Drosophila melanogaster: one gene and its partner. The protein of the gene in region 1 interacts with the protein of each later gene in a pairwise test. Each region holds a gene or a part of one and is shown in the gene's direction. Other genes may lie near its edges. The genes, in order: mRpL19 and Hsp26.

Region 1 (3,722 bases):
TGAACCGCTTGGGCCAGTCGGAGGCCACCTCCCTGCAGCATAAGCTGGATGTTTACCGTGATCGTCTGGAGGCCTTCGGCTTTAATGCCGTCGTTGTCGATGGTCATGATGTCGAGGAATTGAGCAAGGCTTTCCATTGTGCTGCAATCACCAAGAACAAGCCCACCGCCATCATTGCAAAGACGTTCAAGGGCAGGGACTTCCCCAACATCGAGGATTTGGACAACTGGCACGGCAAGCCACTGGGCGACAAGGCCGCCGAAGTGGTGAAGCATCTGGAGGGACTGATTGTCAACAAGAACGTCAAGCTGACCCCTAAGCCGGTGCCCAAGACTGGTGCTGCTCCCGACGTGGACATCAACAACATTAAGTTGAGCTCGCCACCCGCCTACAAGCTGGGTGATTCCATTGCCACCCGTTTGGCCTATGGAACAGCTCTGGCCAAGATTGGCCAGAACAACCTGCGTGTTGTTGCCCTAGACGGAGACACCAAGAACTCAACTTTCTCCGACAAGCTGAAGAACCTCGACCCGCAGCGCTACATTGAGTGCTTCATCGCTGAGCAGAATCTTGTGGGAGTGGCCGTTGGAGCCGCCTGCCGTCGCCGCACTGTGGCCTTTGTGTCCACCTTTGCCACCTTCTTCACCCGTGCCTTCGATCAGATCCGTATGGGCGCCATCTCGCAGACGAACGTTAACTTTGTGGGCTCCCACTGCGGCTGCAGTATCGGTGAGGATGGTCCTTCGCAGATGGGTCTGGAGGACATTGCCATGTTCCGCACCATTCCGGGCAGCACCATCTTCTATCCCTCCGATGCAGTGAGCACGGAGCGTGCCGTCGAACTGGCCGCCAACACCAAGGGTGTCTGCTTCATCCGTACGTCCCGTCCCAACACCTGTGTGATCTACGACAACGAGGAACCCTTCACCATTGGCCGCGGCAAGGTGGTGCGCCAAAAGAGCTCCGACGAGGTGCTTCTGATCGGAGCTGGAATCACTTTGTACGAGTGCCTGGCTGCCGCCGATCAGCTGGAGAAGAACTGCATCACCGTCCGTGTGATCGATCCGTTCACCGTGAAGCCATTGGACGCCGAGCTGATCATCGAGCACGGCAAGCAGTGCGGAGGACGCGTAGTCGTCGTGGAGGATCACTACCAGTAAGTGTTCTTTGTAGTCTTTTTATTTGCCTCCTTTGCTAACTTGAAATTTACTTAATTTCTTATAGGCAAGGAGGCCTGGGTGAAGCTGTGCTGAGTGCCCTGGCTGGCGAGCGCAACTTCGTTGTCAAGCACTTGTACGTGCCCACCGTGCCACGTTCGGGTCCTCCGTCGGTACTCATCGATATGTTCGGCATCTCCGCACGTCACGTCGTCAACGCCGTTAACGAGATCCTCAAGGATTAGGGGACCAGTCGTGATCTGGCTACATTCATTTACCGCCTACAGGAATTCCCCCAGTTACTACTTACTTCCAATATTACCATTCCCTCTAAGATTGTTAATTGCTTCATTGATTTGAACCTTACATCATGGAAATAAAATATCTTTAATAAAAATAGTTAAGCCGAACTATATACCTTATTTACATATTATATTACTTATTTACTATATTACTTATTACATGTTAAGCATGCCTTTAAAATGGCTGGACGATTTCATTGCGTTTGCCTTTGGTTTGCTTTAGACTTGCTTTGGTTTGTTTTTAGTTTGCTGTGGTTTTGCTTTGGTTTATCTCTGGATTTGCTATGCGCTTGATGTTGATTTGACATAGATACTGAAATAAAGATAAGATGAGAAAATGAATAAAATTATAAATTTTTTAAATTTAAGCATACTGCATACTTTTTTAATTTACAAATTTTTAATATTTTTCTAAAAAAAATCGGAGCTTAAAACTAACAAGTTGGCAGTACCCTTCCAATTATAAAGGGTTATCGATAACTCTGCTGTAGCTATCGGTGCTGCCAGCTGATTATAGTGCGGCATGATTATCTAAACATCAATTTGTTTCAGCCGATCCCGAAAACTATTCAAAATGAACTTAAGCACAAGAGTTATGCTGAATAGGTTGACACAGCAGTGTGTCTACAAGCGGATTGGTAAGGAGAGACGTTTTATCTTGTGCCACACATTCAGGAAACGTATTTTCAGTGACCTTCTCCACCAAAACTGCGGAACATGTAATTGAAAATCAGGAGGAACAGAAGAAAGAGGCTCCGCCAACCACGCCGACTTCACCGGTGAACCGGAAGACAATCATTCCGGCCAATTATCGGTTTGTTTACCCAGAATTCCTGCCCGATCCGAAGGTGGAGTGGCGCAACCTCGTGCGCGAGAAGCTGGAGCGACTGGACATGCTGGATCGCCGCAAACAGATCGACCTGCCCGAGTTCTACGTTGGATCTGTGCTTGCGGTGACAAGTTCGGATCCCCATGCCGCTGGCAAAACCAGTCGATTTGTGGGTATCTGTATCAATAGGGATCGCTGTGGACTGCGCGCCCGTTTCATTCTTCGCAACGTGATTGATCACCAGGGAATGGAGGTGGTCTACGAGCTGTATGATCCTACCATCCTAAAGATCGAGGTGTTGCGGCTAGAGAAGCGACTGGATGACAGTCTTTTCTACCTGCGGGACGCTCTTCCGGAGTACAGTACTTTTGATGAGAACATGGAGGCCGAGCCGCTCGAGGAGGGTGCTCCGGTGCCGGTGAACGACATTAAGGTGGTGCTCCGTCCGCGTCCATGGCTGGAGCGCTGGGAACGACAGAATCTGCGTGGTGTGGCCAACATCGATGAGTATCTAAAAGACAAGCATCGCCTGTCGGCGGCCAAGGTGCAGAAACCATGGGAGAAGTACGACATGATGAAGGACTACCGCAGCTCGATTCCCGAGGAGGAGCAGACGGAGATCTTCGCCGAGGTGCACACGGAACTGCACGCCCTGGAGCTGCAGCGAAAACGCAACAAGCGCAAGCGCACTTTCATTAAGCCCAAGCAGCTGGCGTAATTGCATTTGTTGTTCATTTTTTAGAATAAAAATATCGAAAAAATGTTGTTTTATAGTTTTCCACGATTTTACTTTATAAAGATGGTTTTATCATCGAAAAAATGACTGAGGCTGCAATAATATGGTTTGGATAACGCTAAATTAATTAGTTTATTAGTCATAATTGTAGTATAGTGGCTTAGCAACTAAACGCAGAATAATTTACAACGCACATTGCATTACTAATATACGCGATACTTGTAGAAATTGACAAAGGATATCGTTGCGTTCCAACCAATAATTGTGACGACCAGAAACAGTAGAAAGATGATGGGCAGGGCGATGAGAATGATGCGGGTGTTTTTCAGATGGGGAATGCCTGCAGGAGGAAAGCTTTTTAATTCGAGAACTTGATGATGCATTTAATAACTTACAATTGTATCCCAGAAATGTGATGTACACATAATAGCCCATGCCCATCAACCAAAAGGTGTTGCCCAGAAATCGCGAGATGAACCACGTTTGGCTGATCAGCCAGTTGTAGAAGAACAGCTGGATGAAGTGCAGCAGCATCAGTGGCGGAAAGAAGGCATTTAGATGGACATCGAAGGCATAGCCCCACTCGATATCCGGCTCCAGGCTATTTGTGCGCAGATACCGATTCGTCACCGCCCAGAAGAACGAGGCTATTATGATGCCCACGAAAATACAGTCCACGAATACCACATAGAATATGA
Region 2 (3,769 bases), on another chromosome or scaffold:
ATAGTTTTTCGCCTGGGAGCTGGCATGGAAGCCGACTGGAAGTGACCAGGTTTTCCATTCAGCGCTGCACAGCCGCTTAAAAGCGTCGACATTCAGCCATAAGGGCTCAAACGCAGTCCAGTTGGAGGCCAGAACGGATCGCCGCCGGTTCCCAGACGACACCAATCCCCGCAAGACCTAAAAAATAAAAGATATATCTTAGCCAGATAGGAAGAAAGTGAAAATGTCGCTGATACCGTTCATACTAGATTTGGCCGAGGAGCTGCACGATTTCAATCGCAGCCTGGCAATGGATATAGATGATTCGGCCGGATTCGGGTTGTATCCACTGGAGGCCACCTCACAGTTGCCACAGCTGAGTCGTGGGTTGGGGCGTGGGAATGCAATGATGTGGGTGCCCATCAAGGGTCAGTCGGCGGCATCGCAGCATCGCCATCATCCGTACAATCGTGTGGCCGGAGCCAAGACTGCTTGCTGCAATAAGTCGCTGGTGGAGCTGGAAAAGGAATTGGGCGATAAGGGCACGTCCGGGGCAAGCGGCAGCACCAGTGGCCAACCGGCGGCCAGCAAATCCGCCTACTCCGTGGTGAATAGGAACGGCTTCCAGGTGAGCATGAATGTGAAGCAGTTCGCCGCCAACGAACTGACCGTCAAGACCATCGATAACTGCATCGTGGTCGAGGGTCAGCACGACGAGAAGGAGGATGGCCACGGGGTGATCTCGCGCCACTTCATCCGCAAGTACATCCTGCCCAAGGGCTATGATCCCAACGAGGTGCACTCGACCCTCTCCTCGGACGGCATTCTGACGGTGAAGGCGCCGCCACCACTTCCAGTCGTCAAAGGCAGCCTGGAACGACAGGAGCGCATCGTAGACATCCAGCAGATATCGCAGCAGCAGAAGGATAAGGATGCGCAGCCGCCAAAGCCGTCAGAGGTAGAGCAGCAGGCGGCAGCTAGTGCCACCACTTCCACTTTAAATCCGACTGCACCCACACCCACTCCTTCGCTCTCGCTCACTCTCGCCGAGAGCAACGGCAACGGTCAGGAAGAGACAGAGATGGAAATGCCGGCTGTTTCGCCCCCCATTTCCAATGAGGCTGCTGCTGCCGCTGCTGTTGCAGTGGAAGCCCCTTCCACCGCAGGAACCACTTCCAGTGCCAACAATGGCGTTGCAGAACCAGAATCAGAGTCCATGGAAGTGGCGTTGGCCAAAAACGAAGAGACTGCCAATGTGGATGAACCCACACCCAATCCCGTTATAAGCATCGAAGAGGAGCAAAAGGCAGAGGATGCAAATGCCAACGAAGTGCCCGTTGCCTCGAATAACGGCAATGGAGCAGTCGCAGCAGCCGAGGATGTGGAAATGCCGCTGGCCAAGAAACCGGAAATCTCCACGGAAGACAGCAAAGAGGAGCAGGCGGAGAAGGTTGATAAAGTAGAGAAAGTGGAGGAGAAGGGCGGCGAGGAACTGGCAGCCGTAGATGCGGCCATTCTACTGGCCAAAAACCAAGGCGAAAATGGAGCCACTGCAGCCAAAACCGAGGAACTGGCCAAGTGAAGACTGAACTAAAAGAAAGAACATAAATAGTAATTAAGAACAAATAATAATCTGCACGGGTAGGCGTGCGTTTTATTCCATACGTGTTTCTTGTGTTTTCTTTTCTTGCATTTCACACAAAAAAAAAGAAGCGAGAAAGCTGACGGGAAAAGCACTCAATTACTAATAGTGGGAGATTGCTGGCGTTATATGTATGTATGATTTTCTAAAAAACATATGTGACAACAACTACAAGTATTCCAGTAAAACTTAAAGACAGAAACACGAAATAATGTACTTAATAAAGAGGAAAACCAGAATAAAAAAAACTGACGTTTTGTTTTGTTTGCCGTTAGCCGGCTGTTTCTTTTGCGCTCTTTCTAGAAAATTGCAACAACTCTCTAGAAACTTCGGCTCTCTCACTCATACAGGCGCACTAGCTCTGCTTTTGCGCGTACGACAACAACTACATTTAAAATTTCTCGAAACTCATGGCATTTATTGGGAAAGGTTAGTTAGTTTTATTTTTTGTTTTTAGAGCAGCATTCAATTTAGACTTTTATAAAAGAAATTTCTAATTTGATCCCTCGTTTATCAAACGATACAAAGCTATATTCATAATTTTTTCTCTCTGTGCACGTTCTCTCTCTTCTCTTCTCTCTCTCTACTCTTTCCTTTTTCTGTCACTTTCCGGACTCTTCTAGAAAAGCTCCAGCGGGTATAAAAGCAGCGTCGCTTGACGAACAGAGCACAGATCGAATTCAAAAATCGAGCAGTGAACAACTCAAAGCAACTTTGCGCAAAAGCAAAACTTCAAACGAGAAAAAAAAGGATTAAAAACCTTTGCTTACAAGTCAAACAAGTTCATTCAACTTAACCAAAGAAAAAATATTTCAATCTCGCAAAAGGAACATAACCTAAAGGAAACGTAAAAATGTCGCTATCTACTCTGCTTTCGCTTGTGGATGAACTCCAGGAGCCCCGCAGCCCCATCTACGAGCTTGGACTGGGATTGCATCCGCATTCCCGCTACGTGCTGCCCCTTGGCACTCAGCAGCGCCGTTCCATCAACGGATGCCCTTGCGCATCGCCGATATGCCCATCGTCGCCCGCCGGCCAGGTTTTGGCTTTGCGGCGCGAGATGGCCAACCGCAACGACATTCACTGGCCGGCAACCGCCCATGTGGGCAAGGATGGATTCCAGGTGTGCATGGACGTCGCCCAGTTCAAGCCCAGTGAGCTCAACGTGAAGGTGGTGGACGACTCCATCTTGGTCGAGGGCAAGCATGAGGAACGCCAGGACGACCATGGTCACATCATGCGCCACTTTGTGCGCCGCTACAAGGTTCCCGATGGCTACAAGGCGGAGCAAGTGGTCTCGCAGCTGTCGTCGGATGGCGTGCTCACCGTCAGTATTCCCAAGCCGCAGGCCGTCGAGGACAAGTCCAAGGAGCGCATCATTCAAATTCAGCAAGTGGGACCCGCTCACCTCAACGTTAAGGCAAATGAAAGCGAGGTGAAGGGCAAGGAGAACGGAGCACCCAACGGCAAGGACAAGTAAAGGAGCCATCATCATCCAACATCATCCATCATCATTCCCCTACTTAATTGTTCCTAATTTATTGCATTGTATTTGTAATGAGCTAAAGACTAGAATACTCATATTAATTTAATAAATCCTTTTGTTCACCTGGTGTGGAAAATTAAAATTGTTGTGACTTTTGTATATGAAAGTTGGTTTTTGAAAGAGGCAAATATTTGGAAATATCGATTTGAAGATTTGAATTGGGCGCGACGAGGTGAAGACCCATTCGTAAACACCAGTGTTTCTACCAAATATTTATTGCGCATTTATTATATCAACTACGGGTACAATTTGTATTTTATTTATGTTTGAATCCAATTTAAATGTTCGGCTGCAATTGCTTGGTGTCCGAAAATAGTTCACCTTGAGTTAGGCGCATTCGATGGTTGGGATTTGGGTTTGGTAAAAACACATTCACTGTTTGCCTTCCTGATTTTTGACACATGGTCCACTATTTCCAGGGCAGGGCCAGCTTTCCGGTTTCATGAACGCGGACCAATCTCTCTCCGGGCGTGTAGTACTTGGCTGGCGGCGGTGGTGGAGCCTTGATGGTGAGGATGCCATCGCTGGATATGTCCGAGATTACCTCATTGGCATTGTATCCGCGGGGCAGAAGGTACTTCCTCACAAAGTGCCGCTCCACC

Evidence for each region.
Region 2: the proteins of mRpL19 (region 1) and Hsp26 interact in a two-hybrid assay, tested with the Drosophila melanogaster proteins (one large-scale study listed by BioGRID).

Annotation. Positions count from the first base shown.
Region 1 is NT_033777.3:8,672,154-8,675,875, forward strand, and holds mRpL19 (mitochondrial ribosomal protein L19), read left to right. Parts: upstream 1-1,955; 5' UTR 1,956-2,033; coding exon 2,034-2,097; intron 2,098-2,149; coding exon 2,150-3,006; 3' UTR 3,007-3,043; downstream 3,044-3,722. Other genes in the region: CG8036 (uncharacterized protein), read left to right, coding at 1-1,156, 1,225-1,402; Unc50 RNA binding protein, read right to left, coding at 3,228-3,364, 3,420-3,722.
Region 2 is NT_037436.4:9,375,894-9,379,662, reverse strand, and holds Hsp26 (heat shock protein 26), read left to right. Parts: upstream 1-2,235; 5' UTR 2,236-2,474; coding exon 2,475-3,101; 3' UTR 3,102-3,245; downstream 3,246-3,769. Other genes in the region: Hsp67Ba (heat shock gene 67Ba), read left to right, coding at 224-1,561; CG4461 (uncharacterized protein), read right to left, coding at 3,577-3,769.